3 linked regions of the Arabidopsis thaliana genome follow. The protein of the gene in region 2 interacts with the protein of the main gene of each other region in a pairwise test. Each region holds a gene or a part of one and is shown on either strand. Other genes may lie near its edges.

Region 1 (10,767 bases), on a different chromosome or scaffold from region 2:
TTGAAAAATTCTCAGATTTCCCTCAACTTGGAAGATTCACTCTACGAACTGAAGGTAAGAAGAGATTTCAGAGATATCAAATGCAATGCTTAATGCATTTAGTTTTACTCATCCTAATTATCTGAGATACGGTACAGGAAAAACAATTGCTGTTGGAAAGGTTACCGAGCTCTTAAGTTCTGTCTCAAGCGCTTGATCCAAATTTTGTGAGAGAAAAGGTGAGGAGTCTTATGATTTCAATTATTTTTAAGCCACCATATGGAAGAATTAACTTTAGAAAATGGCCAATCTAAACCTGGGTTCTGTTTCTTTGGAAAGCAGGAGACGGCTTTCGGGTTGCACCAGGAGGGAGATTAGGAAAACGCTTCATGAATGATTCGGACTAAGAAATCTGAGTTCCCTAAAACCCAAGTCCTAATACCTGTTTTTTTCAGTGCACAGTTGAGATTTACAAGCTGCGGAGAGGTGTTACCTGAGACCGATTTTCCTTTATATTTCAAAGCTAGAGAGAATTATGATGAACGTGAGTGAGAGTTTACTTTTCTTTCAAATTAAATTAACAGTTAATACGACTACCTCCCTTTTGGCTGGCGAGTATGTTTTTTGGCTATTTGGAGATTGATATTTCATAGTTGAAGAAACTCTATTCGTTCCTTAATACTTGTCAGACAAGTATTGGTTTCTAGCTCATTCTAGCTTTTTGCTTCATACGACAAGTTATTTCGTTGTTTCGGTCAGGTTAATCCATAAATAACCTCGTGCATCCAAGTTCACTCGAAATGGATTGGATTTTGTCTATAGAACATAAGCTGCAATTATGAAACCGAATTGGATCAAGTTAAACACGATGGAAATTTATTGAAATTTTATACTGGCTATAAAACTTTAACATACAACAATTCTTAAAATTGGAAGGATTCGGTCCGAGGACATTGAGGTAAAGGTCGACACAAACAATATACAACTGAAAGCTTTTCTCAACCAAATAAAACTTGTGGATTACAATGAAACGACGAGCTCTAGTGTGTTTTTGTTTTTGGTTTGTCTGAAAAAGTGATGTGGAAGAAAAAACAAGAATGATGAAGAGGGAAAAAAAGTGAGGAGCTTCTCAGAGACGATGATGGTCTCACTAGCTTCATGTGTTTCGTCCCCATCTTCTTCGTCTCTGTTCTTTAGTCGTCGGGAGAGATTACATTTGGTGAAAGCCACGGTGGATGGCAGGAACCAGATTGTCCCACCGGCAAAAGATCAAATCCCTAACAAAGTAAGCAGCACCCTTCTTCATTTCGATTGTGTTTGAAAAGATAGTGTTAGACCGATGAAGAGTCGTTTCATAACGAACTCCTTCAGAGAAATTCAGTTGAGGAGTACAAAGCTTATCCAAGTTACTTTCTGGTCAAATTTATATTTTGGGACTCTTCGCATAAGTGTTATGTGTTTACTTCTAGCTCTAGGAGATAGAATTTCATGGAACCAAGGTGGTTATTAGAGTTTTGGTTGAATCGAATGGAAATTACATGAATTCTAACTAACTTTAAGATTCTGAATATATCTAGGCAACTAGTTTTTACTTGATTGTGAAATGATTTTGAAATGTAGCAAGTAACGGAGAGTGTGAATGTATTAAAAACGGCTGCAAAAACTCGGAAAGTTGCAGCAGATGAGATTTTAGCTGCTTTCTCTGCTATCGAAAAGGCTAAGATTGATCCATCCACTTTCCTTGAAACGCTTGGTGGTCCCGAGTCTCCTGGACGAACATGGATGCTTATCTTCACCGCCGAGGTACCATTAGATATTCAATTAGCCTTTACATGTTTTTATAAATATTGCAGTCTTGATTGATCCATTCAAATCATTGACTTGGGATCTTATATACCATAAATACAGAAGAAACTGACGAAAGGTCGTTATTTCCCTCTAACTGCTGTTCAGAGATTTGATGCTGCGGTAAGTCTCTAAACTGGTTCTAGTACTGCTTTAGGGTCTGATTGGTAAAAGTGTTGAGGCACTTTAAAATCCTGAAAGCCGATATTTTGGAAGTAACAAAACAATTCTTGTGCTTGATTTTTCAACCAGGGAAAAAGAATAGAGAATGGGGTGTATCTTGGTCCATTTGGAGCATTAACATTCGAAGGAAGGTTTTCATGGAAGAATCGGATACTAGCTTTTGTCTTCGAACAGATCCGCATAAAGATTGGACCATTAGATCCTCTAGAGTTCAGCTTGGGGAAGAAAGACGCTGTGGAAGAGCCTAGTAATAAAGACCCTTTCTTCATTTGGTTCTACATCGATGAAGAAATAGCCGTTGCTCGAGGTAGAAGTGGCGGTACAGCTTTCTGGTGTCGTTGTCGTCGCATTGCTTCCTAATGACTCTCTTCTACTTCTCAGAAGCTGCCTCTCCTTGTAAATGATATTTGAAGATATTGAGCCTATTTGTAATGTTCGGAAAAAAGGTCTATTTCCCCATGGGAACTATCGCATCTGGCTAGATGAAGCCCGATCTTTGACCTCTTGCTATTTACCCATGAAATGAAAGTTAAACGTCTATTTCCCCACCAATTAAAAGTTCAAGAGCTTAATGTCCCCGAAATAAAACTTCGAGAACTTAATGTCCATGAACTGGATTAAGTCGGTTTACTGTATGCGAAACCGATGACTTAACCAACTAAACCTATTTAGAACCAGAATAAACCTAATTTAAACCAAAATTATGACCCGTAACCCGACTCTCGAACCTAAACAAAAAAATCCCCAAATTCTCTCCCGACGAACCCTAATTTAACCTGACGAATCCTCAAATCCAGTTTTTCCAAACCCTAAAACTTTGATCGATCGATGTCGGGATGTCGTTAATCCATCACGACCCCGATCTTGATGGTGATGTCGATCCCGAAGCTGAAGACAGAGATAACTTTCACCTGGAAGAAATGCTAAACGAGTGGACCGACGAACCACCAATTCGCCACGACGTGTACCCGGAGAGCGATGGTGAAGGAGCCGACGACAGTTCCGACATACATGTGAGGCGTGGTGATGGGTTTTTGTACCAAAAGCAGAGTTTCTTCAGTGGAGTTGCGTTCAAAGAGGCGGTTATAGATTATGCTCTGAGAACTGGACATAATCCAACATCTCTTTGGCACTCCAACCACTCTTCCTCGACCACGAGGTCCTGTAGATCCCGACGAACTTGATGACAGATTGCTCATCTTTCAACTGGAAATAAAAAAATTGGGAATCGATTTAGGGTTCTTGAGTTTTGAGTTTGGGGTTTTAGATTTTGGATTTGGGATTCGACAATGGATCGGGTTTTAAAAACGAATCCGGGTTTTTTTGGTTTGGTTTTGACCGATAATATGGTTTCGTCTCGGGTTTACGTATCAAACCGAAGTAACCACGATTCGGGGACATTAAGCTCTTGAACTTTTAATTGGTGGGGAAATAGACGTTTAACTTTCATTTCATGGGTAAATAGCAAGAGGTCAAAGATCGGGCTTCATCTAGCCAGATGCGATAGTTCCCATGGGGAAATAGACCGTTTTTCCGTAATGTTCTGATGTTAAACAGAATGGTTTTATAACATAACAGTTCATGTATGTATGATTTGGTTCTTACCGGTTAAGTAGATAATGTATGGTGAAAATGGAAAACGACGTCTCTCACAACAAAAAACAACTAAAACCCAAAATCTCGACCCAAAACCGAATTTAACTTCAAATTAAGTAAATATGGCCCGAAGTTATAAGCCCGAATAACAGAGGCCCATTATAAAACCTGGAGCACAAGTTTCTCGTCTATAAGTGCTAGGCTACGCATAGGGCTCCGTGGATTTGTTCTAAGAGGATATTCTCCGTTGATTTGCAATTGTCAATTTCCAAGCTTCAGAACTAGAGTTCGTTCGTTCACGACGTCACTGTGGCTCTCGCGGCGTGGCTGTTACTTTCCGGTGGGTGAGGTACGGTACTTGTTATCTCTCTCCGAAACCCTAAGTAGTCCTTGGATATGTATCTTTGCCTTTTCTTATATTTACGTTTAGGAAGATAATTCGTTTTCTTGGTAGTTTACCCCTTGTATAAATATAGTCATATAGAGCTCAGGGTCAAGTGATAATCAACACATTCAATCGATCTCTTTGCATCTCTTGTCATCAAGGGTTAACTTTATCTATTATTTTGTGTTTCTCTTTGTATAGAAAAGAGATGTCGAGTGATTTGCAATCGAACTCCGGCAGATGTACCTCCGAGGACTAGATATTATGCGGATAGCTCAGCCCGTTTGGTTTTCATGGAGGGGCCTGAGATGGAGAGAAAGATGATGACAAGCTATGCGGGAAACCCAAAGTACTCCTTCTTCTGGAGCTCAGATCGTTATCATGCTTATTACCAGAAAAAGCTTGCTGGATACCGTGCGCAGAATTACATGAGGGACCTGAGATCAAACTTAGTGATTATGGGATACCTGATGTTCCATTGAGGGTGAGGGTAAGGGAACCACCGCTTCAGATTCCAAAACCTCCTCCGGGCTTTGCTAGTGACCAGAAGCCGACAATGAAGTATCCGCCTCCACCACCTCGCAAGTATGCAGCTATACTCCCTGAATGGATTACTGGCAAAGAGCTTGAAACTATCAAGGAAGGGGATATGGACGAGAAACAGCAACGATAGCTCTTAAGAAATCAGCTAAACTCTAGCAAAAACACGTGGATTGCTAATATGCTTTATAGGTTATAGGTTAAATTTGTTGAGGTATAAAACAGTCATTTCAAAAAATCAAAAATTCACGATTAATTTAGCTATTGTTTAAAAGTTTAGATATTAAATAATATTTTTCTCTTTTATAAATCGAAAATGTTTGGATATTAAATGTATAAAAAACTAGAAAAGTAAATAATTGGGCGTTTCTCTTTATTTGTTGTTTCCCTCGATTAGCCGATTGCGTCTGCAAACGCGCCAACGGCTACTTTTTCTCCGGAGCCGGAGCTCTCAAAGCTGAAACCCTAAATTTTCCCGGTATCTTCCTCATCGTCGATTTTACTCAATTTAGAATAAAAATCGGAAAGCAATCGAATTCTAGCGACGTGAATTAAGAAGAAAGAGAGAGGCGCGATTATTGAGTGGGTTCTGAAAAACCCGAAAATGCCGGAGCAGCCAAAGAAAGTTGCTGATAGGTATCTCAAGCAAGAGGTTCTTGGGCAAGGTACCTATGGAGTCGTCTTCAAAGCCACTGATACTAAGGTCATATCTTTGCTGATTTTTGTTTGCAAAATTAGGGTTTAGGATCTGTCGGCAATTCCTAATTTCTCCTTCTTTTTTGGTTCCGGATTTTGATTGAAGTTTTTGTTGGATCAAGGGGAAGTAATTGTGGGGTGTAATTTTGCAGACGGAACAAACTGTAGCAATTAAGAAGATAAGGCTTGGTAAACAAAGAGAAGGTGTAAATATTACAGCTCTCAGAGAAATCAAAATGCTCAAAGAGCTAAAGCATCCTCATATTATTCTGCTCATTGATGCATTTCCTCACAAGGAAAACTTGCATCTTGTCTTTGAGTTCATGGAGACTGACCTCGAAGCAGTTATTCGCGATTCTAACATTTTCCTCTCACCCGCCGACATTAAATCCTACCTCCTAATGACATTTAAAGGACTTGCTTATTGCCACGATAAATGGGTTTTGCACAGGTACATTTGTTTATCCTTAACAACTTGCTTATTGTCTCTGTAATGTTGCTTGGTTTGGGCACTGATTATGTGTGGCTTGAGTTCAGGGATATGAAGCCAAATAACTTGTTAATAGGAGTTGATGGACAGCTTAAGCTTGCAGATTTTGGCTTAGCACGTATATTTGGTAGTCCAAATCGTAAGTTTACCCACCAGGTATGCCTTTTGCCGCATTGCCATTTTATCTATTGCTGTAATATAACCAAATTGATCGACTAACTCATATGAAATATTGATAAGAAAGTTTTAAGTAGTTCTTATCAGTAGTTATGTCTAGGGATGAGGAAGATTAGATGTCTCATGTCTTTTCATTTCTCTAGTTGTATACTAAATGTAACATGTATTAAACAGTCTCAACTCATATTAAATGATGGTGCAGTAGCTATCTCATATCTGTACTAAAAGTTTTGCTGTTAACCGGATTTTTGACCTGAGCTATTTCTGCCTTCTTTGTTTCCCTTTGAACACCCAAAATTACAATAGAATCCATGTGAGCTCTGTTTCCAAATGCGCAATGCAACTTATTTTCTCTTGTTTCTAGTTGTTATATTATCTTCATATCTTGATATATCTGATAATGCACAGGTGTTTGCTAGATGGTACAGAGCACCAGAACTTTTGTTTGGTGCAAAACAATATGGTGCTGCAGTTGATGTTTGGGCCGTTGCCTGCATATTCGCCGAACTTCTACTACGCAGACCATTTCTTCAGGTTAAATAATCTTACTCAAATCTAATGGCTACCATTAAAACTTTAGTCCAATTGTCATCTCTTTGGATGTTATACTCACTCTCAGACTACATAATTACATATTCATTATCAATTTTCTCGGTATGTTTACTTATTCTATTTTTGCCGTTGCAGGGAAACAGTGATATTGATCAATTAAGCAAAATATTTGCTGCTTTTGGGACACCAAAAGCAGATCAGTGGCCGGATTTAACAAAGCTTCCAGATTATGTAGAGTATCAATTTGTCCCTGCACCGTCTCTACGTTCTTTATTCCCAGCAGTTAGTGATGATGCTCTCGACTTGTTGTCCAAAATGTTTACCTATGACCCAAAGGCTAGAATTTCCATTAAGCAGGCTCTAGAACACAGGTGCCTAATGTTCACCATCTGTTTATAGGCAAAGTATATCTAGCGTTCTGCTCTCACACCTTTGTTTTCATTATTTCAGGTACTTCACTTCTGCACCTGCTCCTACTGACCCGGCTAAGCTCCCAAAGCCCGTTCCTAAGCAGGATGGTAAATCATCTTACGGTAAACATGAGGCCATTACAGTGCAATCACCACCACGTAAGCTTAGAAGAGTGATGCCTGAGCGTGGGAGGGTTGATAGTTTGAAGTCTCATGTTGACAAGGATCAACAAGCACCCATGTCATTAGATTTTACCATCCTCGCTGAGCGACCTCCAAACAGGCCAACAATCACCAGGTAAAAAACAAGACAGTTTCTCCCTCACTGCATATTAATCTCATTTGTCATTACAGCCTCAAGATTGATTGTGTTTTAATGACTTCTTCTTGTTCAATTTGTAGTGCTGATAGATCTCATCTGAAGAGGAAACTCGATCTTGAGTTCCAGTAAGACTGTTGGTTATGCACTCTTCTCTTAGCTTCTCCATTTTCATGTTCTGGTGAAACCACACCATTGTTAAGTTGTCAATTTACTGCTGCTTGTGTAATCTGGCGATTTATTCTTTTCCATATTTAGCTTGATTACAAACCAGAGGGACCTTAGATTCACAATGATAATATTTTGTTGTCCCATAGGCTTTTTATTCATTGTAAACTGATCATACTGTACTATGAAGTCTATGATTATAAAGCTTTCTACTTTTTGCTTCTAGAATTCTTTGCGGTACAAAGAGAGCTCTGTTTAATCTTCAAACTCATTTTTCTTTCGATGGTGGCCCCAGGAATTTAATTGATCCATTGACAGCTCAAAAAGATTTTACCAAATACCAACAACAGGTTTATAAAACACATACGAGCCAGAAAAACAGATGCCCACATGTCAGTCAGGCTCTTCTTTAGTCATACCCGCTTGAAGACTATCACGATTGCTGTGCAGTTGTCTTTGCAACGACGTTCTTTCACAGCTTCCTTCACAAGACGGCGACTTACCGTGCTTACATGCAAGCCCTCCTACAAAATCATAGTTCTTAGCCTCTTAGTTTCTCACATTTAATTTCCCTTGACACTCTTTACTTGTGTGCACAAGGTTCTAACAAGCCATTTTGCTCACATGGCTACCGAAAAACATCTGTTTTTTGAGCTTCTTTCTATGTAGTTAAAGAGAGTGTGAAATGGAGGACAAAGTGATTTTGACAACTGTAGGTATTTACCTTCAAAAGTTTCTGGACAAATCCAACAGCATCACTTGGTCCAAACACCTGAAAACGGTTGCATTGTGTATGAGCAGCAAACTTTGATATATAAAGACAAAATGAAATGTTCTTATAGAGCACTGCAAAACCACAAACGAAGAGCTTACTTACTTCCCACAATCCATCGCAACCAAGAATCATGAAGTTTTCTCTCTCAGTTAATTCAAAAGCATGAATGTCTGGAGTTGCACTGACACCAAACTAGATTCAATAACTTGCGTTAGATGCGAATAAACCATAAGATTTTAGGATAAGTTACAGATTCTAGGCATTTGAAGTTGCAAAATGATATGGAGCAAGGTTCAAGAACATGTCGATAGAATATTGCACGCGAGAGCTAAAATGTCACAGATAATGGGCTCAATATAAAGTGGGAAGCCACCGGATCATTACCTTCTTAAAATGACGATCACCAAAAGCCCTAGAAACCTCAAGACGCCCTTGTAACCGTCCATTTGAGCTTATAACACCACCTGACTGTGAAACTCATAGCAAGTTATCAACAGAGCATGGTGTGCTCACATTTACTTGGAAGTCTCTGTCTGGCTCATCAAAAACTAACCTTTTGAATGCGAGAGCGCTCCTGTGGATAAATTGCTTTGTGCTCTCTCGTCAAAACAATTGCTTTGAGTGGATTACCTGCTTCTGTATGATTCCCCAATTCGTTGGTAGTAGAGGATCGTGCCAAAACAGCCTTAGCATCACCGATATTGGCAACAAAAACCTATAAAGCATGAGAGTTTATGGGTGTGAATACTGGAGAAAAGGTCGAGTTATTTTATGAAATTTATCTAGAGAGTAAAAATATTGAATTCCAGAGACCCCATCACAGTCATACCTTTTGATCAAGTATCCAGACACAGACTGCTGTGGCTCCATCTTGCCATCCTCCTGTACAAGACACAGGTCAGAGAGAAGCATAAATATGAATGAACTAAGAGATTCTATGGAGAAGATATAGGAAAGCAATCAACAGCCGAGATAAAAGCTCAGACATTCGAAACATAGATGCAGAATATAGCCAAGACAAACACACACATACACAAACTACCTGAAACACTTTTTTGCAGGAGCAACTCATCAGTTTTCCGGAAACCTGAAAGTAAAATTGCTTTAACAGTTGAGAACCTGTGGATCTGAAAAGCCATAATGAAATGACTAAAAAGTTTTAAGAGACTTATGAAGTAAACTTATATATGTACCTTCAAGAATGGCCTTTTTAGCAACTTTGACATCCAGCTGAAACAGCAATTTGACAGAGAAGAAGGTGAAGTGAGACCGAGTGAATGACATGAAAACAGTTGTAAAGACATAATTAATATGAACCAAGTAAGACAGACCAACTCACGTGGTAACCCAGCTGAAAGAACGTTAAGGTGAAGATGCTTCTTAGCAAACTCTGCAGCTAAACGACCTCCATGCCCATCATAAATTGCAAAATGCGCACACCTACATACCAATACAGAAAAGCCTACCTAGCTTTATAAAGAAACCTAAAAAAATATCATTTTGCACAATAAGATTCGTATCTTCCTAATTCTTCTAAGTCCCACAAACAGAATGTGTCCAATTACTAAACTTGATTCAACTAAGAGCTTGTATTTGTTACCTTAGTGTCCCTGGGAAATCCAAAGAAGCGTCAGGCAAAACCACCCAAACATCTTCCATAGTATGTCTAGCTCCTTTGTCTTCAGCAACATCAGCTTCGACCAGAAACTCCTTCTTTTCTTCACTTACAAAGCTAGGCTTATCTTCTTCCGCCTCTCTATTACCAACGGCGGCTACAGCTTCTCCTCCGCCGGAAACCTCCTCTGACTTCTTTGCCTTCTTCACCGGTGAGACCAAATCCTCGCTGGAAAACGAATCAGCCGCGTGCTTGTTATTTGGTTTCTCCATTGCAGTCAAATCAGATTCCTTCTCCAACATTCGTTGAGAATCTTACGCTTAATCTTCTCGGTCTGTTTCCCGGCAATAATCTTGTCGGGTCACCGTCGCAAAGAATGAGATAGTAAAGTAAACACAAACAAGTTGCAAGAATATATAATTTAGTACCCAAAGTTTCTGTATATTTTATTTTAGGCCCCACACTTTTAAATTTACCTGAAGTACCTTGAATTTTAATTCGTATACGGTATTATTACACTACACATAAATGATTCGGTTTCTTAACCATGATATTCGTATATTTGTGCAAGTTTATCAATCGGCGTAAGTTTTGCGAAAGCATTTGTGACTTTGTATAACCAATTTTAGTTTTGTTGAAGCATTTGTGTAAGCAATTTTGGAACTTATAGTTTGTTGCGGACGATGATGATTTTATATAGGTGGTACGTTGTAGTGGAAATGATGAAACTTGGAGAGTTGGACACTGCCGAAGCTTGTTTGAGGCAAGCTTTTTGCCTTATGTGATTGAAAAATATGTTTTGCTAATAATGCATCTGAATAAACCCCTTAAGCAGTTGTTGTATCTGTGGTCTCGAGGAAAGGGTAGTCTGTATAGCCCACTACAGGATCTGAAGTGTAGAACGTTGATCTATCGTACCTATTCAACGGCTCATTGAGTTCGAATCTCCTCGTCAGATCCGGATTCGCCAAGAACGGCCGTCCATAAGCCACAAGATCGGTTCTTCCCTCTTCCACCGCCTTGTTCCCGTCTTCTCT
Region 2 (11,882 bases):
TCTCTCATTCTTGAAGCAGACACAAGCTTATGGTACAATCATTATTTTCTGCTAAAAACAAATGATTATTCTGCGGTTTTATACGTTTTTTAGTTCACACCCTTTATAGGGTAACCATGTCTCACGAAATTCTGTGTCAGCCTAACAAATTCATGTAAATAAATCTGTTCAAGATCGTGTAATGTGCTACTTTTTTTTATGTAGAAAAAAGGCAACGGGCCACTGGAAAACGTACACCTCGGTTTCTTGTCGCAATTACACATGAGAGGGATGATATAGAAGATTTTAGTCCACCAAATAAAAGAGCCAAGAAACAACTTGATGCCGATGATGATGCATCAAGAAGGGGAGGAGGGTCTCCATACAGAAGAAAAGAACTCAGTGAAATCACACCAACTAGGCTTAGGAAAACGGTATTTATATAGCTCTAGCAATTTAATGTTGTCATGATTGATCAGTGAAAAAAACAATTTCTACCCTTTTTCTCTTTTGCCAGTCACAAGCACAGGAAGCACAATTCAAGCACCCTGATAGTTCCATGTTTGAGAATGGGGTGAGAGATAGATGGCATAAAAAGGGAGCTGCTGATAGAGATGGTGCCTTGTTGATGGATATGGAAGGACTTGTTACCCAAAAGGAAAAAATTGTGAGAGTTGAAGAAGCAGAAGGAAATTATTCTGATGATGATGATGGATTAGGAGCTCTGAAGACATTGGCTGAAATGTCAGCTTCACTGGCTCCGGCTGGTTTGTTGGAATCAGGTTAGCATCAAATGGTTGTGCCACTAAAGATATATATTGTGCGGGTTAATAGAAGACCCATTAATTAATATCTGTTCACCTTTCACATCGAGGTACATCTCTTTATATTTTCTCCTTTATTGTGTTGGATACAGAATCATCTCCACACTGGGAAGAAGAAAGAAAAACTAACAACGTGGATAAGAAATCTAACACTCTGGAAACCGTGTCAACAAGCCATCACAGAGAAAAAGCAAAACAAGCAGGACTAGAAGATAATCTCCTGCATGCAATTTCAGCCCCTGATAAAAGAAAACCGAAGTCTGTGCCGGAATCCGTTGATGGTAATGTTGTTTCCATCGAGGAGCTTCGCACTTCAAGCAGAAAACGTAAACCAAAGGTTTGGTTTACAAGACAGTTTTTCTCTTTAAGTTCTTTGTTATCGTGTCATTCTTCTGTGTATCACATAGCTATATGCAAATTACATTCAGTTTCAGGTGCTAGATGTTGTAGCTCCAAAAGAGTCTACACAGGACAAATCTCTATATACTAAGGTATTCTTTTAAACCTATAGATATGCAAAACCCGCTTCTCTCCTATTTAATCGTACTCTGTGATCTGCGGTTACTCCTTGTAATTTTAGAATCCTTGACAAATTCTTTTGATCAAAGAAGCTTATGCTTTAGTAGTTTTTGTTTGTGCTTTCTCTAATGATTTTTGTTTATTGCATTGCAGGAATCGGCTGAAGTTGATAGTTTGAAGACTCCCGTCAAAGCAAGACGTTCTAGTCAAGGTCCAGCAAAACAGCTGAAAACTGCAAAGACCACGGTAGAATCTTCTTCAGCTAGTGATAAGAAAATAACTGGACCGGATGCAGTAGTGCCAGCTACACAAGTTTCAGCTTCGGGTCCAGAGACTTTGCCACAGAAACCACCAAACAGGCGTAAGATAAGTTTGAAGAAAAGTTTACAAGAAAGAGCTAAATCTTTAGAAACCACTCATGACAAACCACGTAGTTTCAAAAAACTTTCAGAACATGAATTACTACAGGTGAGTCTCTAACTTCATTTTTCTTATACAAATCAAATAAATCTGGTCTCTTATTTGCTTATTCCATTTACAGGAGAAGTTGTCAAATTGTCTGTCATATCCATTGGTACGTCGATGGTGCATATATGAATGGTTCTACAGTGCTATTGACTATCCCTGGTTTGCAAAGATGGAGTTCACTGATTATCTAAATCATGTGGGGCTTGGTCACGCTCCAAGACTTACTCGTGTTGAATGGAGTGTCATTAAAAGGTTTGTTAAAGTTTCTGTGTATGTATGTCGATGGAATTATAAAGATACAAAAGGTTACTCATTCTGTAATTTTTTCAGTTCTCTCGGTAGACCTCGGAGATTGTCTCAGAGATTCCTACAGGATGAGCGGGATAAACTCCAAGAATATCGTGAGTCTGTGAGAAAGCATTATACAGAGCTGCGTGGATGTGCTACGGGAGTGCTTCATACAGATTTGGCCCGTCCTTTATCAGTCGGGAATAGAGTGATTGCCATCCATCCTAAAACACGGGAGATTCGTGATGGCAAGATTCTTACTGTGGATCATAACAAGTGCAACGTTCTCTTTGATGAATTGGGTGTCGAGTTAGTTATGGTAAATCACAAACTATATCAATTCCGTTGATAGTTTGTCCATTTTTTGTATATCTCAGATGATCTAATAAATCCTTTTTTCTGACAGGACATTGACTGCATGCCTTTAAATCCATTGGAATACATGCCAGAGGGTCTAAGGAGGCAAATTGATAAGTGCTTGGCTATATGCAAAGAAGCAAGGCTTAACAGACACCCAAGCTCTGATGCATCTGTTCTGTTCTCTCCTTCTGTGCTTGAAAATGTCAACTTTTCCATGAATCCTCCTCCTGCGAAACAGGTAAACAAAGATTGACGTTTGACTCGTGTGTCAAAGCTTTGATCTTCGTCTTTCTTTCCATACATTTTTTAATCTCTGTGGATAATTCCATAATTCTCTGCAGGATGATATCAGAGAGCCAGTTTTGTATGGTAAAGTAATAGCAACCAACACTACTGATCAATCTATCGTAATCAATAGCAAAGTAACAGGAACAGAAATTCAACGGACTCTGGCACTGCAGCATACTTCCGATGCGCAGGTAACTAAAAAGTCTATGCCTGTGGAAACTTTGTCTTTAGATTGCTCATGTTCGAATAAGTATAGACTTATTTTGTGTACTCTTTTTGCTAATAGTAACAGCTACAGAAATTCTTTTCTCATGATTCTGCTTTCCAGGAAATGGAGCCAGAAATGATTGAAATTGTCATTGAATCAAAGTCAATAGCGCAAGCAATGGTGGATGCAGCTATAAAGGTATTTATAATATATCTAGAGACTTCAGAGTCTTCTAAATACAGAGAAGCCAAATTCATACAACTCTAACATCTTTTGTTTAAATCGTTGTCAACCGTTTTAGGCTGCATCGTCGGGGAAGAACAATGAAGACTCAGAGAATATGGTTCACCAAGCTTTAAGCTCCATTGGCGAACATCAGCCATTAGACAACTCTATAGTGCCTGGTATCAAGCATCAAGAGTATACCAATGGCAGCTTGGATCATCATTCCTTAAACACAGCAGAGCCGATGAGTAACGGTTTCATCTCACAGGAAGGATCAGGAAAAAACAAAACACCAATGCCTTCAGAGCTTATCACCTCTTGTGTTGCATCTTGGCTCATGATGCAGGTAAAGGAAATAATTTTGTCTTGGACTAACGAAAGTGTAATCTAAATCAAGAATACCAAAGTTTTCACTTGATGCGGTTTTGATTAGAACTCTTTGTGTGTTATTTACCTGCAGATGATCTCAAAGAAGCAGTACCCACCAGCAGATGTGGCTCAGCTAATGGATACAGTAGTGAATGACTTGCAGCCACGGTGTCCACAGAATATGCCGATATACAGAGAAATTCAAACTTGTATGGGATTGATCAAGACTCAAATAATGGCTCTTGTAAGAACGTCATGAAACATTTGTGTCCTTTGTAATTAACCTGACATCGAAGATAACACTTGGAGATCAGATTTAATTGTTTGGATTGTAGAGGTTAGTTTAGTTTATAGTTAGTTAATAATTTGAACAGCTCCAAAGGCTGTTGATAATTAGTTACCATTGATTCTGTAACTTTTTTTTGTCATCATTCATTGTAACTTTGGTTACCTTTTACTTTGGAGCTGTTTTTTTTTTCTTTCTTTCTCAGTGATTATTTTCTTGGGTCATTTTGGATCCTAATGGCTGAAATAATTTATTCCCACCTTAATACAAAATCTCAAATATATACTATTCCTTAACTAAAATTCTAGAACAATGCCAAATGGATATGTTTGAAATACCTTTAATAACAACTAGGATTTAACCTGTGGTGTACCACGGACAAATGTTTTATTCATATATAATAATATTAAATTTTACGGTTTTTAATTTAGTATTTAAGTTTTATAATTTTATATTAATGTTATAACTAAAACAAATGGTGATGATAAAATAATAAAATAAATATTTAACATGTGCTATATCAATCCAAACTCGTCCCACTATATTTCATATCAATCCAAACCCGTCCCGCTATATTTCTCATCTCATGATATTTTTTTATAAGTTTAAATAATAATAATGTTTTATAAAGTTAAAATATATCTATAATATTTAAAAATAATAATTATTTTTTACTTAAGTTGGAAAGATTTTTGGAAACGTTTGTTGAGCGCAATATAAAGTATTTAAATTTTCAAATCTGAATAATTAATACCAATTATATATCTTGAAAGATCTTTGGCAACTATTGTTGAATATAATATCTTGTATTTAATTATCGACAGGAAATATTTAATGTCAATGGCATGACATTGTAAATACAAGTACAAAATTTATTTGCTAAAATGGCTGCAAAAATGTATATGTAGATTTACTTCTAATTTTAATGTTTCAAAGGACAAAACTAGGCATGACCATAAAATCCGAAGCCCGAAAAACCTAGTTCGCTTTGGTTCGAGTGGATCTAAAGTGTTTATTTTGGGGTTTTGGTTTGGTTCGTGTAGGATCTGAAACCTGAACAGATACCTGAAATATCGAAACTCAAACGGATACATGTAACTCGAAATAATACGTATACATAATTTGTCGGTAAATTCAGGTTCAATATCAGGTTTCAATTAAATTTGAGAACCAGCCCGAACCCGAATAGACCTCAACCGATATTTTCAGTTCCTAAATGTATTTTCAATCTCTTTACCAAAGTAACCCAAAAACCCAATCTAAACAGACCCGAAAATCCGAATGTCCAGACCTAACTAAAATCGTGAGTCAAACTCAAAAAATGATTGATTAACACTATATTATACTTTTACTTAGATTCTATAAATTGGACACATGTATGGGTGTTATTAAGGGTTGGAAACATAAATTTAAGCCATGACCTTATTTTTGGTTGGAAAATTCTTGTTCTTTTTTTTGTTAGTAAAGGGCTGTTAATAAGGGTTTTAATGGGTTAGCGAACGACACCGTTTATAATAAATATGTTTGCTAAACGACATCGTTTGACCTTAGGGTTTATTGTTTAACATGAAAGAACGTCGTTTCACCAACGTTTCTTCTTCCTCGCAAGTCTCAAAGCCAGGAACGATCTCGCCGTATGAGCAACTTCCGACATTAACACTGTATTGCTCTGCCGTACTCTCCTCTTTTTCCCTTCATACTCGTCTTCACATCTGAATTCCGACAAGATATTGCGTCTGCTCTCCTCTCTTCCCTCATTCTCGTCTTCTCATTACCAAAAACATCTTCTTCTCGTAGCTAACTCAATCCAATTCCAATCTCCATTCAAATCGAGCACCAGATAATTTTTTCTCCTAAATTCTAATATAAGCCCTAAAATTCAAAATTGAAATATCTATAGAATCTCCTTCCGATTCAGACGGATAATCGCCATCAACAGCGTGTGAATTCGATCAAAAATCTGAACTTTCCACAAAGAAATTCGAAAGCTCAGATTTTTCGATTTCGAAAATTTTGAAAACTCAGTTAATGGCGGATTTTCAGACATCAACACAACGGGCCAAGTGGATTTTCACTCCCCAGAAACTGGTAATCCCCTTCTCCTTCTGATCACTACAATGCGGCTTTATAATTATATTTTGTTCATCTTTGGATTTTCTTTGCTTTGATTGCTTCATAGAGAGTCGGATTAATCGAGCATTTGGAACTCTTTGTTACTTAGTTATGTGTGTTGTTGTTGTTATTATCTTACTTGTTGTGTAGAGATATTGGTATTGCAACTAAGCTGTAATGTTGTAATTGTAGGCAGAGAGATATAAAGCTGCTAACCAGAGGGCAGTGCAAATGCTGGAGAAGGTTTGTTAGAATAATTGTTGATATGGAGCTTTAGTCCTGTATTCATGTTTAGATTTTAACTTATTGTTATTCATAGTGTGGAACAACTCAAGTTGAAGTAGATGCTAGTGGATCACTAACATATCCTAAAGATAAAGTTGGTTCAGGAGATCAAGGTAAAAATTTTGGTTCCTTCAATATCTACTTCATACGTATCATAGTTTTGTTTGTCGAAGTTTAAATAATGTTACTTTTTGCTTTGTTACTCTCAGCTGATAAGAAGCTTAAGCCTTTGAGTGCTGATGAAGAAAGGTTCATGAGAGCATTTTATGAGGCAAAGGTCCAAGAAGTGTGCAGTGCCTTTGCATTTCCTCACAAGATTCAGGTGCATTTCTACTCGTCGAGATAGAAGTTTATGATGAAGTTAAAAATAAAATACCTGATTTTTGTTTGCTCTCTGAATTTATGTTTCTTCCTTCTAATATTTTGCAGGCAACAGCCCTCCAATACTTTAAGAGATTTTATCTGCAATGGTCTGTTATGCAACATCATCCAAAAGAGATAATGTATAGTTCTTTTAAATCCTCAAAATGGTCAAAAGCTTTGCTTTTTTCAAGAGAATAGTTTTGAAATTGTTTACCAAATGGAGCTAAGCATTTTGTATTTCTGAGCTCTGAGAGGCTTTTTAAGTCAGTCATAAATGGTCCATTGTTGTAATTTGGACTAATTGTTACCTTTCATTGAACAGGTTAACCTGTGTGTATGCAGCTTGTAAAATAGAGGAGAATCATGTATCTGCTGAGGAAATTGGGAAAGGGATTAACCAAGATCACCGAATAATTCTCAAGTACGAGATGGCTGTTCTTCAGGTATGATATGAGTCAATTAATTTGTACCAACTTCCCTATGTTTATTTTTCCCTGGTGTTCTTTTCTCTCTCTATTCTTTTGTTCATATTATATTAACTCTATGTGCAGAGTTTGGAATTTGATCTGATTGTTTATGCACCGTATCGTGCAATCGAAGGTTTTGTCAACAACATGGAGGTAAATCAGTCCTGTCTAAATTTCTTAGTAGGTTTTCTTATTTCAACTGGCTTTTCTCTGTTTACATCTTATAGTGATGAGACTCTTTTTCAGTTTATTGGCAATTGTTTTGTTGCAAACAAAATTCTGAATGTTAACTTAACGCCAAGAACTTGGTGAACCATAATAGGATATACCAAGATTTTCAATACTTTTTTCGGTGTGTTATTTTTCATCCTTGTTGAACTTCACGCTATCTTCAAAAGTAACCTCATCTTTTCATCCTATAGGAATTTCTTCAAGCTAGAGATGATGAAATCCAAAAACTAGAGGTAGATCTATCTTCAGATATTTCCTTTATCTTCACTAGATTTTAAGCATGTGGTAACTGAATGTGGGATCAAAATGTAAATTTTAGTGTAAGTTTGTGATCATAGCTGTAAGTCTATTTACTTAACAGGCTTTATTGAAATATTATTTTCTCATACTGGCATAACTTTTCAAGTATTCTGCAGAGTTTGCTCAAAGGGGCGACAGCAGAAGCCGATAAAGTTATGCTCACAGATGCTCCACTCCTCTTTCCTCCTGGCCAGGTGGGCATGCTAGTTTATTTTGTCTCCCTAGCCTCTTATTATCAGATTAAAGATACTGAATAATATCCATCAAAGAATCTGGTTAAACTCATTGTTTGGGATATTTCAGTAAAGCTTTAAATATGCTACTCAAGACATAAATTTAGGATGAAAGTTGGTGCTTTGTTTTCTCTTTGACTGATATTTAAGTGAAATTAATGAATGTTTATGATATAGTAGTATAGCTTATCGATATATACTCACCTTGTTCCTTCTTTCAGGATTTTTCGTTTTTCTTTAGCGTATATGTAACAAAAGAAGTATCACAAATTGTTGTACTGTCTCTCAACTCTTGAACGTGTGCCCTTGTAGTTGGCATTGGCGTCGTTACGTATTGCAAATGGGGTTCTTGGAGTGATTGACTTTGATAGGTTATTTCTCTTATTCTATATCCATCCCGATTATTTACCCTTTTAATCTTTCCATGATATTAATCTCGTGGTCTTGAATTTCTGTATATGCAAAGCTTTTTACTGGTTGTATTTTCAACTAAACTGCATTTGGTGCAGGTACCTAGAGAACATTGTTTCTCAACCGAACTCTGAGCACACGACTTCAGAGCTTACAAAGTTACTTGATAACATCGAATATTTGGTATTTACTAACTTCCATAATTATCTTAACAATGAAACTTGCATATCTAAAAGGAAGTTTTACTAGATGCTCTCTCTTATCTCAGGTAAAGAACTACAAGTGCCCAAGTGAAAAGGACATGAAGCATATCAACCGGAAGCTAAAATCTTGTCTAGGACATAGTTCTTCACATGACGAGTACACTAACAACCTCTCTTCTACTAATTCTTTTAACCACTATATATATTTCATAAGCTTTGCTTCTGCAATTGACTCCCTTCTCTATTTATCTTCATCAGGAGTAAGAAACGGGAGAAGAGATCAAAACACAAGTCCCATAGGAGCTCCAATGATACACCAAACGGGGCACCGCCACCCATAGGTTGAGTTTCTCGTACTGCCATTAGCAATTCTTCCTTTGCACTTTGGTTTAGTTTTAATCTTATTGAATGAGAAATTCGTCTTTTATAGTTTCTTCCCCGTTGTTGTTCTTACTAGTAAATTTGAGCAGATTATGTATAACAATGATATTGGCCATAAGTTTTGTTTATTCTGAAGATGTTAATGAATTTATAACAAAACTTCCATTTATTTTAAGTTTTGGTGTACATAACAATCGTCAAAAATGGTTTGTTTGCGATAATGATCAACTTTTTACATGATCAAAAGTTTTTCCAGACATTTTGATACTTTCTAGTTACTACCACATCTGTTCTTACACAGAAACAAATGGATATGACTAGTGTAGCGGTAACTATCAAATCCTAATAATAACAATGAAAATTTGTATTAAATAACCAAAAACCATCGAAAATAAAATTTGGATTGTGAATGAAACTTGTAAAGATGCTTGATTGGTTGTGCTAAATGTCTTTTACAGCCATAATATATTTGTTAAAGACTAAATTGTTGCCAATTATGTTATAGTTTTTTTCTTTAACTTAGAGCCCCAAAAAAAATCTTTTTGTTTTGACTGTAAATCTTTAATTTTCTACATCCTATTTTGTGTTGTAGATTTTTTTTTTTTTGTAGATTTTTTTTTTTTTTTCTCTCCTCTAACTTTTTGTCACGATTATTTTCAACTAATAATCTAAAATGTAGTTATATGAATAACAGATAAAGTATTTTATACATTTAGACAAATAATTTATAAATTTATATAGATTCCATTTACCTAGATGTGCAGAATTCTTTTTGTGTTTTTATTATAAAATTGTTATTAAATAATTTATATATATTCCATCTACCTAGATGTGCATAATTCAATTTGTGTTTTTATTTTATAATTGCTATTAAATAATTTTAGTAATTATGATATACAATTTTCTCATTTTGAAAAAAGGTAATTTATAAATATAAAATTCAAATATTTCTTAATCATAATTTTTAGTTACAACTAAAATATTTATTGCCAAAATCCTATATTTTTCAAATCTACAAAACCAAGAGGTTACCGTCAAAATTCTACAGTTAGAGCTTATACACTTATTGCCAATATTATACATAAAATATTTTACCTTATGCAAATGCCTATGCTTTTATGGGTCATAGACGGACCTGGCTACTGTGTAACTAATCACCCACATAATTTATCAGTCAAACATAACAAATTCTTTTTGTGCCAAAAAGTCAAAAACGTTAGAAACTGGATTTTGGAAGTTGATGCATGCAAATAGCAACTTGTCGTGCCGCGCTATATAAACGCTGCATCAAGTTTTCGTAATTAACTAAAACCAAATTAGTATTAATCCGAAAACTTGAAACTGTGGCTTCCTCCTCAAATCTCCGATCAACGGAAACAAAATGGCTCACATGGTGAGAGCGAGCTCTGGCCTTTCTTACCCGGAGAGATTCTACGCCGCCGCATCGTACGTCGGCCTCGACGGATCTCAATCGTCGGTCAAACAACTCAGCTCCAAATTCTCCAACGATACCTCTTTGCTTCTCTACACGTTGCACCAGCAGGTTCGTCAATTCGATTTCAATTGAATTCCATAGGGATCTGTTGATTTCTCTTCTTTCGCAATTTGCTACAGTAGATGTTGGTACGATCTCGCTCCGTACATTAGACAATGGAACTGTGCTTATACTTGGGATCATTGCTATGCGAAAACTGGTTTATTTTGTCACTGAGAGAGAATTTATTCAATCATCTTTGTGATAAAGATGTTTACTAATTTTGAAATCTTCTGCCTTGACATGTTAACAGGCTACTCTAGGACCTTGTAGTATTCCAAAACCGAGTGCGTGGAATCCAGTAGAGCAAAGCAAATGGAAAAGGTTGGTTTCACTTTTGTGTCTGTCAATACTATTCTACATTTGGAGAGGCTTTTAAGTATCATCATCAAATGTGTAAGTAGCTTTTTTGAGTACAAGTATCAAGATGTCTCATGAATTAGGGCTACAGCAACAAGTATCGTAGATTTTAGACTTGTATTTCCATCCTAGGGGAATACATGAAATAGGAGCTACCTTGGTTTTAGCATGCAAGAAAATTACTGGTAACATGTCAGGGAATGTCATCTTAGAGAATGCCATTATGGAAAGACAGATCGAGATCGCAGACCTCATAATGGCATTCTCTAAGATGACTTTCCCTGAGCAAAGTCATCTGTGTAAGCTTCCTAAGAAAAGTACATGTTTACTAGTTGGCAGGGGCTTGGAACCATGCCCTCCATTGAGGCAATGCGTCTATTTGTGAAAATCTTGGAGGTAATATCAACAGAGGAGTTTATTCTCATTTCTCTTCATTTGTTAATCATAGGCTAATTTCTTCCTATATTGCTCACTTTTCAAAAGGAAGCAGATCCTGGTTGGTATCCAAGGACATCTAACTCTGTTCTTGACCCTGCTGTACATGTCCAAATCAATGTGAGTTTTTCATCGCCTATACGTATGATCAAATTTCAGTTTTTGTATGTAAGTATTGCTACTAATTAATATAACAATGCCTCATCCGAGAAGTATCTTACTTTTTTACCTGTTGCAGAGCACAAAGGCTGAGCCTAGTTTTGAGAGTGGAGCTTCATTTGGTGAGACAAAGACGATTACTTCTGAGGATGGGCGCTTGACAGAAACGCAAGATAAAGATGTAGTTTTGGAAGACCCAGATACTGTTTCTGTGTATAATCAGTGGACTGCACCACGAACATCAGGTCAGCCACCAAAAGCCCGATATCAGGTAATATTTAATTTGACTCTCTTGTGGAACATGAAAGGAAACGATCTCTTCGTGTATCTTCTCTCTTTTCTCATTCTTGTTTACTATATCCGTTTCAGCATGGAGCAGCGGTTATTCAAGATAAGATGTATATGTATGGTGGAAACCACAACGGCCGTTATCTAGGTGATCTTCATGTAAGCAACTTATAGCATTATTTGACAGCAGTAACTTGTCTAATCGAAATAATAGGTTTCACTTTTGCCTACCTTCAAGAACCTTCTCCCATTTATTTTTTTCTGTGACACTTCTGCTGACAATTCAGAAGCATGTCTTCTGTAAAT
Region 3 (10,870 bases), on a different chromosome or scaffold from region 2:
ATCTTCTCTGTTTCCTGATATACCTTAATATTATGCCTAAATATGACTTTCAGATATGATGGCCAGCGCGCCCAGATCCATAAGTTACTTGATGGTACTGTGTGTATCTTTTCTCGGAATGGGGACGAAACAACGTCCAGATTTCCGGATCTGGTTGATGTCATAAAACAGTTTTCTTGCCCTGCCGCTGAGACATTCATGTTGGACGCAGAGGTAGGAGAATTTTCATATAATTCACTTTATGCATCTTTATCTATTCAAACCCACATCTAGCTATGCACAGGAAAACGAGGGAAGGGACCTTTTTCCGGTTTTCAAATTCAACCTGTAATTGCTCATCATAAATTCTCTTGGTCATACGTGGTGTATGGTCTTTTTATGGTTTTAGGTGGTTGCCACTGATAGAATAAATGGAAACAAACTCATGTCATTCCAAGAGTTATCAACAAGAGAGAGAGGGAGCAAAGATGCTTTGATAACTACAGAAAGTATTAAGGTATTGAACACAATATCTATACAACCCAATTGAATGTTAGTATGGAAGTTCCACATCGTTTTACAATGAGATTTATTTTTCTCAGTATATTCGACGAAAGTTTTCCTTTTCATCCTATTGTATCCTTTGAATACAAAATTCTTAGTCCATTGTCATTTTTGTAGTTTTCAATATGTTCTTCTAGATGTATTTCTTTTCTTCTAATGGCTTTCTGCAGGTTGAAGTCTGCGTCTTCGTGTTTGATATTATGTTTGTCAATGGAGAACAGTATGAGTCTTTTACTCACTATTTATATTTTCATTTGCATATATCCAAATACTTATATGTTGAGTTGTAATTTACTTAGCGTATCAATGCAGGCTGTTGGCTCTTCCCCTCCGTGAGAGACGAAGACGTGATTCCCATCATTTTCTTTTTTCCTTAACTTGATGCATTCATTTTCTCTACCAGGTTCATATATGTCCACTCTTATCTTACTTGGTTTTGCTTGAACTTACAGGTCTAAAGGAGGTCTTCCCTGAGACTAGGCCAGGTTATCTTGAGTATGCTAAGGAAATAACTGTAAGTGCTACGGTAGTTTCTCACCTAGAAGTTATAGGCTATAGCCTTCTTCTGTATCTAAGTGTTTTGGTATTTTCATTGAACTGATCATTGTTTGATTTTTATAGGTGGGAGCAGAAGAAGCGTCTCTGAATAATCATGACACATTGAGTAGGATAAATGCTTTTCTTGAAGAAGCATTTCAGTCATCTTGTGAAGGAATCATGGTCAAGTCTTTAGATGTAAATGCTGGATACTGCCCCACAAAGCGCTCTGATTCATGGCTCAAGGTCTCTTTGCTGTAAATTATCTTACTAAAACATAATGTGATGGAAATGGATTAAATAATGCTTTTCTTTTCTGGCTCAGGTTAAGCGAGATTATGTAGATGGATTGGGCGATACATTGGATTTAGTTCCTATTGGTGCTTGGTATGGCAATGGGAGAAAAGCAGGATGGTAGTAAAAACATATTTTCCAACTTTCTCTTTTTTTTTTTCTGAAAAGCAGAATTGTAATCATAAGTTTACTGGTAATTTCTCAAATGCATCTTGATGAATTCTGATGTTTTTTATATATTTTGTGTGTAGGTATAGTCCATTCCTTATGGCCTGCTTCAACCCTGAGACTGAAGAATTCCAGAGTGTCTGCCGTGTCATGTCTGGTTTTTCTGATGCCTTTTACATCGAGGTAATGAAAAGCTCAACTCTAACGTTGTTGTTTAATGATGAAACAGATGGGGTAGTAAATACGTTGGGTTTGGTCTATACTTGGACTCCTAATTGTCACGTGAGAACCATTTCAAGCTTGATTCTACTTTCTTATTTTGCTTATCTTGCAGATGAAAGAATTCTACTCGGAGGATAAGATCCTTGCGAAAAAGCCGCCTTACTACAGAACAGGGGAGACACCTGACATGTGGTTTTCCGCAGAGGTAGTTTGGGAAATCAGAGGTGCTGATTTCACAGTCTCGCCTGTTCACAGTGCCAGTTTAGGTCTCGTCCATCCATCGCGAGGCATCTCTGTTAGGTTTCCGAGATTTATCAGTAAAGTGACAGATAGAAATCCTGAAGAATGTAGTACGGCTACAGATATCGCAGAGATGTTTCATGCTCAAACCAGAAAAATGAACATCACTTCTCAACATTAACACGCTTCCTATCTGCTTTTGGTTCGTTTAGACTTTTTTTTTTTTTTTTTTTTTTGCTATCAAGCACTTGCAAAGTTGCAAGGGTGTTTAAATAGGAACCTAACTCACAAAATATTTTTTGTGGTTTTTAATCTGTAGGTAGAATGTGTAAATATTTCTACCTAGAACTATGTGAATATTTAACCCATCTGTATATATTATCTATGTGCGTCACTTTTTCTTTTTTGATGTCGTAAACACAAATGGTAACACTGGTAACAAAATATTGAAAGATAGAAAAAAAAAAAAGTATATAGGATATGATTGGTAATCTCTTATTTGTGTCACTAATCGATTGAATTCTATATTTTTTTCGTATTTATGTGTTGGACACTAAAATTATCAAATATTTAGCAAATTTCCCTGCTGCATTTCGTGAGTTAAAGTATTCCTCCCGCCAATTCAACTTAACCGGTAGTAGCCGGTCACCATTCCAACGACAACCGGTTATAAGAAAGCCATCCCCAAAATTGAAAACATTTTCATCGTCTTCTTAATCAAAAAAAAAAAAAAAAAAAAACTCTGAAGCTTCTTCTTTGATTAATTCTCTCCTGGGGAAAAAAAACCCTAGCTCTTCCTTCTTCTCTCTTCTCTTGAATTATCTGCTTTCGAATTTTTTGAAAAGGGAGAAACTTTTTCATCTGGGTCTCTCTCTCTCCCGAGTTTGGATGAAGTTTATTGAAACCTAGGGTTTTTCTCCGACTTGGTTGTTGATTAGAGATAATGAGTGCAATCAAAATCACCAACGTCGCTGTATTGCATAATCCTGCTCCTTTTGTTAGCCCTTTTCAGTTCGAGATTTCTTACGAGTGTTTGAATTCTCTCAAAGACGGTAAAAATCTCCTCTTTCTCCTTCCCCTGAATTGTAATTCATCTCGACTTTATTTAGGTTTTAGTCTCTGCTGATTCTTATGGATTGTTTTCAACACCAATTTGTTGCTGCTGATTGTAATTGGAACATATTGTTACCTAATTGCTTTGTCAGAGTCATGCTCTAATGGTTTGTTTTCTAATTGATAATCTAGAGTCTTGTTGTCTATTAGTTGGATTTATCTATGCACAAGTTCTTGGTTAACATTGTTATAGGGTGAGGATAACTTAGATAGACCCGTGCTTTTGCTTGTGGTACAGATTTGGAATGGAAGCTTATCTATGTAGGCTCAGCAGAAGATGAGACTTATGATCAACTTCTAGAGAGTGTGCTTGTAGGGCCTGTTAATGTTGGCAACTACCGCTTTGTATTTCAGGTAACATATGCACTACTACCTCTTCCAAGCACCAACAAAGTCTTGGTCTAACTCTCTATTACTACTGTTACAGGCTGATCCTCCGGATCCATCAAAGATTCAGGAGGAAGACATCATCGGTGTTACTGTGCTATTGTTGACATGTTCTTACATGGGTCAAGAGTTCTTGAGAGTTGGATATTACGTGAACAATGATTATGAGGATGAGCAACTCAAGGAAGAGCCTCCAACTAAGGTTTTGATTGATAAAGTTCAGAGGAACATACTTTCCGACAAACCTAGAGTTACTAAATTTCCTATAGATTTTCATCCAGAAGAAGAGCAGACTGCTGCTACTGCCGCTCCTCCTGAACAATCTGATGAACAACAACCTAATGTCAATGGTGAAGCTCAGGTTTTACCTGATCAGTCAGTAGAACCAAAACCTGAGGAATCATGATCCTTATACCAAGTCTAGTTGAAGAAAAGTGGATGAGAATTGAGAACTATTGTCTCCACAGATGTTGCGCTTTGCTTTTCTGTCTTTCAAAAGCATTATATGCTGTTTGTTGTACTTAATTCTAGAGGCTTTAGGGAAGTGATTCTTGACATTTTTGTATGTTTATGTTTTGGGCAAAGGTTTTTTAAATCGAAGCAAAGCCAACAGTTGCCAAACAAGATTCTGAGTTCTGATGGTTGGAATTTGGTAATAGGTGTAGAATAACTTCCCTAGATTTTCTCAAGGTACAAAGCGACATTTGATCTTCATCATTTGTTGAAAAAAGTGCCGTTAAATGGTCATAGTTAGCATTGATGATGATGATTATCATCATCATCAACCATAATTCTTTCACCAAAAAAACATGAGTCCGTGATTTTTTTAGGACCGTTTCACAGTTGTTCTGCCAAAAATATGAGTCCGCATTTATTCACCAAAAAAAAAAAAAAAAAAAAAGTAGTACACATTACAATTTCTCGCCTAACGATTTTACTCTGTGGTAAACCGAAAGATAGTTAAAAACGGCTCCATTTCGATTACTTTGAAAAAAAAAAAATGTTTGTTTTGTTAAAAGAAAATATCTTTTAAAATATTAAAAAATATTTTATTCAAACTTTTATTAATACAGATCTAATTACTAAACTCAATAACATTATAAAAGCCGTGTTCGGCTAAGCCCAGTAAGCCCTATATGTTTTGAATAAATACGATATTTTATAATAAACAGATTGTTGTTTTTAAATACCTAATAATACATAATATATTCCTATACTTGACAATAACGAATAAGAATTATATTACCTATTATTTTGGATTTCGTAAAATTATTTTATATTTTTTTTAGGTAAATGGTAAATTTGTAAAAAATAGCTACTTTGATATTTATATTGTGTATTATTTTCTACTCGATAAGATTAATCATCAATAGTTCGAGGTGGAGGGTTAAATTATCTAGGGTCTGATGATCATGTAGAATCACTTCCTGCAAACAAATCACGAGTGTTAGCATATTTATGCTATCCACAGTATCATATGGCTGTTTCTGATTATTTCATAAATATAAGGTTCGTTTCATAAAACACAAAATCTTACGGGTATAAAATTGAAACCAAAGAATTCAATTTCTTAAAAGTGTTTCACTAGGAGCCCTCGTACTTCCTCGAAGTGTACCGGAGAATCTAAACCCAATGTCGAAATCCGGCGATAATCAACCAGTTGATAGATACCTCCGCCGTCAAATCCTCGGAGAAGGAACATACGGTGTCGTTTACAAAGCCACCGACACAAAGGTAAAATCAAAAACCCTTCCCGATTTCGTTTTCAATTTCATCAAGATTTTCAAACTCAACAATCTTCGATTTTGTGATTTCCTTAGACTGGGAAAACTGTAGCAGTGAAGAAGATAAGATTAGGAAACCAAAAGGAAGGAGTAAATTTCACAGCTTTAAGAGAAATCAAGCTACTAAAAGAGCTGAATCATCCACATATCGTTGAACTCATTGATGCTTTCCCTCACGATGGAAGTTTGCATCTAGTTTTTGAGTATATGCAAACAGATTTAGAAGCAGTGATTCGTGATCGTAATATCTTTTTATCTCCTGGTGATATTAAGTCTTATATGTTGATGACTTTGAAGGGTTTAGCTTATTGTCATAAGAAATGGGTTCTTCACAGGTAAGAAGTTATGCTTAGGTTTATAAAGATTTGATTTTGATTGTGTTGATGGTTTGTTTTTGGTGTGGTTGTTAGGGATATGAAGCCGAATAATTTGTTGATTGGAGAGAATGGTTTGTTGAAGTTGGCTGATTTTGGTTTGGCGAGGTTGTTTGGGAGTCCGAATCGGAGGTTTACTCATCAGGTATTGATGCTATGATTGATACGGTTTTGAGCTTGGTAGCTAGGTTAGTGTAGTTCTTGATGATCTTATTGGATTTATTGGTTAGGTATTTATATAGTTATTGATATTTATGGTTGCATTGGTAGCTAGATTAGTCTGGAGTTTGTAGTAAATATCTTGGTACTTCTTCTTGATGATCTATTTTGAATTTTATGCTCAAAATGAAGAGTCGGTACAGAGTATTGAGAAGATATCATACTTTATGTGTGTTTGGTTTTGGTGAGGTGAAAGATTGTATTGACATTTTTTTACCCTAGAAGATTCTGAGATTGATTAGTTATGAAGAAATCTCTTCTATTTTTTGTTTGAATTGACAGGTAGATTAGTCTTGTTCTTGATGATCTATTGGTTTTTTTTTGCTGGGACAAACTAAGAGTATATATAGTGCATTGAGAAGACATACTATGTTTTTAATTCGAATGCTTGCATACCTATGTTATTGGTTTCGGTTGGTGATTACAAGTTTAAGTTTCCGGATAGCATTTTGTTGATTACGGTCATATTAACATTTTGACTCAAGAAGATTCTGCAATTGATTAGTTCTGTAGAAGTCTCTTTTTGCTGGATATGGAAAAATTGATACAGAGTATTAAGAAGACATCATACGGTTTTAATTTTGATTCTTGCATACCTGTGTTTTTCGATTTTGGTGAGATGAGAGATTGATGGTTCAAAGTCACCAGATACAGTTTTGTTACTTACGGATGTATTAACATTGTTACTTTAGAAAGATTCTGAGATTTATTGGTTGTGTAACTTGTGTAGATATCTCATTTGGTTAGCTATTTGTATCTGCTTGTGGAAGATTCGTTAAGTTTAAATTGGTTATACTTATTCACACAGGTATTTGCTACATGGTACAGAGCGCCTGAGTTACTGTTTGGGAGTCGACAGTATGGAGCAGGAGTTGATGTTTGGGCTGCAGGCTGTATTTTTGCTGAGTTACTACTTCGTAGACCATTTCTTCCGGTAATGCTCTATACCCTTCGTACTTCATGTTTAAAAAGTCTGTAGTTCTCTAAACATTTCCTATACTTTCTTCAGGGTTCTACTGAGATTGATCAACTTGGAAAGATCTTTCAAGCGTTTGGTACTCCAGTACCTTCCCAATGGTCTGACATGATCTATCTCCCAGACTACATGGAATTCTCCTATACACCCGCTCCACCATTACGTACCATTTTCCCTATGGCAAGTGATGACGCTTTGGATCTTCTAGCAAAAATGTTCATCTACGACCCACGTCAAAGGATCACAATACAACAAGCTTTAGACCACAGGTATACTCTTGAAAAAGAAACCCACGGGACAAAAATTCTGTTTCATCACTCTGATTATCATTGGTTTTTTCATCAGGTATTTCTCGTCTTCTCCATCACCAACTGAGCCAGGGAAGCTTCAGATTCCAGCTTCCAAAGGAGACGCACTCGAACCAAAGGCCTCCGAGCAAAACCAACATGGAAATAGCCCAGCGGTACTGTCTCCTCCTGGTAAAATGAGGAGAGTGATGGGTCCTGAAGGATTCACTTGAGAAGATGATGTTTCATTTCTTTTGGAAAATATCAATGGATATGCCCAGAAGATTTCAAAATTAGATTTTTACCATTGATAATTCAATATTAGTTAACTATCAAAGAGAAAAAATTTAAAGCCATAAATGTCCTTCTTAGTTCTTACTTTGTTTAATTTACCAAATATGTCATGTATCAACTATTGTTATAATTTCACTATATATCAACTATCTTACCATATTAATATAAATATTATTCAGATATTTAATATGTTAGCACGTTATATTCAGTATAACATGTTATTATAAAGTTAAATTGATTATTTCATATTAATTTGTATGATATGGTAAATGGTTTAATACGATATATAAAAATTTATCGTGATACTATACTAGTTAACATATTAATCAAATAGTTATATATATTTAGCACGATACTATACTAGTTAACATGTTAATCAAATAGTTATCCACATAAATCATAAATATTTTATGCAATCCAATGATAAATACGACAGTGTCGTAAATTTCGGATGAATAGTGTCTTCAGGCAGTTGATGAACAGTATCATGTCTAAAATATCCGGTAATAAATAGTGTTTTGAGACAATGACATATTTAGTAAATTAAACAAAATGAAAAAGGAAATTTATGATTTTAATTTTTTTCTCTTTCATACTTACCTAATATTAAACTATCTATAATAGATATCTAATTTTCAAGTCTTCCAGGCATATACATTAATATAGCTCTTTCCTTTTTTCCTTTCCTTGACTATAATCACTAATGGAGAGGTATATACAGTAATGACTTTAATTTCTAGAATTGCGTTTCGTAATGCTTTTCTACAAAGTAGTTACCATAAAAAAATATCAAACGAGAAGCCATCTTTTGACCTCATCCATGTCTAATATCTATTGACGTTAAATTCCTTCGAACCTTAAACTGATAAAAAAAAATTATCTTCAATAAACTTAAATTTATGATATAACACTGACCGAAGAAAAAACTAATTTTTCTAAAGAAAACACATTTAATGTTTAATTATAATTGCACTAAATTCTCACTCTAAACATTTTTCCATGACTATGAACCAATAATAATTCAAATATATGTACACGTGAGTGTCTTAATCAGTGGTTGATCATATTCATATTGTCAATTTGTGATTAATATTCATTGGGAAGCAGTGATCTTGTTGTATAGGGACTAGGCTTTCACAATATCTGCAATTTCCACTCCTATTGGCGATCCATACATATTTCATTGGCCCACTAAAAAAATAAATTCCAAAACAATTGGCATTACTACAAATACTTACTCTTTCGGTTTCATAAAGAATGTTTTTCTATAATTTTATATTTGTTCATAAAGACTTCTAAAACTAATCACTTATTAAATATGGACTCATGTATATATATATATTTTTTTTAATTTGTATGAAATGTGTCAAAATGATATTTTTTCAAGCCGATGAAGTACTAAACAATCTCTATTTGGTGCGGTTTGGTTTTTGAAGTTATGATTCTTTTGACTCACTCTTACGATCAGGAACTCACAGTTTGGACTTTGGACATAGACCGTGACCGGCCCATGAGAGACACGAGTTAAACTTTGAATTTAGAAGAAAAGAGTATTAAAAAAATGACCTTTGTGGTTACCCCACTGCAAAACGACCTCACTCAGATGAGGGCTAACAAATTGGAATTGGAGGCAGCAATTATGCCACTTGGCTAAGTAGTTGAGGCAGTGACGCGGCGATATTATCCATGTATATAATGTGTGAAGCCAAAAACGATTGTAACATTTTTCTCTGATCTTAGGTATTAATACGAGAATTCAATTTTTTCCGACAATTTGTTGAAAGCTTTCTCTGTCAACAATAAAATGAACGTGCATTAAATACCAAGGTTGGCTCTATCTAAGAAGCCAATTCGGTTAACCAAAGTATTTCTAGAGGGTTACCTAAATTAACCAAAAGAAATCCGGGTTCGGTTTTGGTTAGTGTAAAACTATTTGTTTTTGTACATTTTCTCATGAAATTGCTTATTAGTACCATATCTCCGTACCAATTTTTTTTTTTATTATTACTTTAAGAGTCTCACTAAGCAATTACCCATGAGATAACATGGTGTACCGCAATAATACAACGTTACCTATGAAACTTCGAGTAGTTAGAAAGTTTTGACAACACCTTTAATTTGATTTGAAGCATGCAATCACCAAATCTCTAGTAACTACTGTTCAAAGGTTGCTTATAGTGTGGCCGAGAGGTATGCCATCATCGACTTCACTATTCTTCGCGGAAACAACTCTTTTGCGATAGATCTCAACTTCACCAATCGGATCTCTTTCATCGATTAGATTGATAAAGTTATTCCATGTCAAAGGAAAAAAACAAAGAGATAGTTGGATTATCAAGATGCATGAAGTATGTGGAGTGCTTTTTTAAACCAAGTGAACGTAAATATGAATTTGTATACATAATACATGTGATTAGAGTTAGTTTAACATAAGTAAAAAAGAAAGTTGAAACTATCAAAATGCTCTGTGTAAGTATTAATTATTTCTTCCAACACACGATGTCAGAAGTCAGAACCGATTATTAATACTTTTCTCAACAACTTCTGTTTCTTTATTTATTTTTGATAACTTCGACGAGGATAAGTAAGAAAATGGCTTCCTCTTTTTCAGTGTGTATAATGCAGTTCTTGACTGGACTACTCTCAATTGGATATCACGGATTGTGAATACATATTCTCGGTTATAACTTTTAACTTTATAAGTTATACTTTTATTTAGTTTCACAATAAGTGTGGTTTAATTCTTACAAGTTTGTATCAAAATAGGTATTGTTTTATATTTTGAATGTAGTTACAGTATTTGGTGAAATTGCAATTCTATTCTTACTATTTTAATGTATTGACCAATAAAAAAAAGTTGTATAATATATTAATAAGAGATAAACAAAAAAAATGTTTTTACTATATGTGAAGAACCTGTAAATGACATTGTGAATACATATATTCTCGGTTATAACTTTTAACTTTATAAGTTATACATTTCTTTCTTTTCACAATAAGTGTCGTTTTAGTGTTAAAATTTTATTTCAAAATAAGTATTGTTATTATTTTTAGTGTAGATATTTGGTAAATATTCAATTTTAATGTATTGACCAATTATAAAAAATTGTATAATATATTAATAAGCGATAGACAAAAAAATCTAATTGTTTTTTTACTATATGTGAAGAACCTGTAAATGACATTTATACTAAAACGTAAAAAGTATGTATGATATATTGAATCAAAAATAATACTAGTAATCAGTAGTTAAGTTACATCTATTTTGTTAACGAAATAGTAAAAAAAAATGTCATTAAGAGACGGATTTATTATTGATATCAAGTAGAGCAAAATTTGTTTGTTTAGAAACACAAACAAAATCTTAACTTTGGCGGTTTAGTCTGACTAATTTCAAATTTATGTTGTGGAGTATATAAAGTCGATAGTACT

Evidence for each region.
Region 1: the proteins of CYCH;1 (region 2) and CDKD1;3 interact in a two-hybrid assay, tested with the Arabidopsis thaliana proteins (2 studies listed by BioGRID, with this or other methods).
Region 3: the proteins of CYCH;1 (region 2) and CAK4 interact in a two-hybrid assay, tested with the Arabidopsis thaliana proteins (2 studies listed by BioGRID, with this or other methods).

The regions. Positions count from the first base shown.
Region 1 is NC_003070.9:6,203,665-6,214,431, reverse strand, and holds CDKD1;3 (cyclin-dependent kinase D1;3), read left to right. Parts: upstream 1-4,903; 5' UTR 4,904-5,132; coding exon 5,133-5,231; intron 5,232-5,376; coding exon 5,377-5,675; intron 5,676-5,761; coding exon 5,762-5,870; intron 5,871-5,970; exon of another isoform or gene 5,971-6,286; intron 6,287-6,299; coding exon 6,300-6,425; intron 6,426-6,578; coding exon 6,579-6,814; intron 6,815-6,893; coding exon 6,894-7,151; intron 7,152-7,255; coding exon 7,256-7,304; 3' UTR 7,305-7,561; downstream 7,562-10,767. Other genes in the region: AT1G18070 (Translation elongation factor EF1A/initiation factor IF2gamma family protein), read left to right, coding at 1-54, 138-196; AT1G18060 (microbial collagenase), read left to right, coding at 1,118-1,264, 1,600-1,782, 1,888-1,947, 2,077-2,367; AT1G18050 (SWAP/surp RNA-binding domain protein), read left to right, coding at 2,844-3,166, 3,877-3,947, 4,190-4,470; AT1G18030 (Protein phosphatase 2C family protein), read right to left, coding at 7,754-7,864, 8,065-8,112, 8,218-8,307, 8,500-8,583, 8,669-8,830, 8,945-8,997, 9,158-9,202, 9,309-9,345 and 2 more.
Region 2 is NC_003076.8:9,765,920-9,777,801, forward strand, and holds CYCH;1 (cyclin H;1), read left to right. Parts: upstream 1-5,383; 5' UTR 5,384-5,842; coding exon 5,843-5,902; intron 5,903-6,118; coding exon 6,119-6,169; intron 6,170-6,245; coding exon 6,246-6,324; intron 6,325-6,420; coding exon 6,421-6,533; intron 6,534-6,640; coding exon 6,641-6,714; intron 6,715-6,896; coding exon 6,897-7,017; intron 7,018-7,125; coding exon 7,126-7,194; intron 7,195-7,463; coding exon 7,464-7,505; intron 7,506-7,688; coding exon 7,689-7,766; intron 7,767-8,117; coding exon 8,118-8,176; intron 8,177-8,314; coding exon 8,315-8,399; coding exon of another isoform or gene 8,400-8,465; exon of another isoform or gene 8,466-8,484; coding exon 8,485-8,760; coding exon of another isoform or gene 8,761-8,765; 3' UTR 8,766-8,956; downstream 8,957-11,882. Other genes in the region: ALY1 (protein ALWAYS EARLY 1), read left to right, coding at 1-32, 205-413, 497-761, 896-1,140, 1,232-1,294, 1,476-1,790, 1,864-2,042, 2,121-2,397 and 5 more; ACBP5 (acyl-CoA binding protein 5), read left to right, coding at 10,182-10,343, 10,588-10,658, 11,027-11,090, 11,178-11,249, 11,368-11,559, 11,658-11,735. UniProt on the Arabidopsis thaliana protein: Associates with CDK-2 and CDK-3 and activates the CDK kinases.
Region 3 is NC_003070.9:24,889,639-24,900,508, forward strand, and holds CAK4 (CDK-activating kinase 4), read left to right. Parts: upstream 1-4,884; 5' UTR 4,885-5,136; coding exon 5,137-5,238; intron 5,239-5,324; coding exon 5,325-5,623; intron 5,624-5,698; coding exon 5,699-5,807; intron 5,808-6,689; coding exon 6,690-6,815; intron 6,816-6,890; coding exon 6,891-7,126; intron 7,127-7,202; coding exon 7,203-7,377; 3' UTR 7,378-7,621; downstream 7,622-10,870. Other genes in the region: LIG6 (DNA LIGASE 6), read left to right, coding at 54-213, 389-496, 714-763, 856-890, 996-1,057, 1,165-1,326, 1,406-1,494, 1,626-1,725 and 1 more; SGA2 (ASF1 like histone chaperone), read left to right, coding at 2,948-3,056, 3,356-3,471, 3,545-3,910.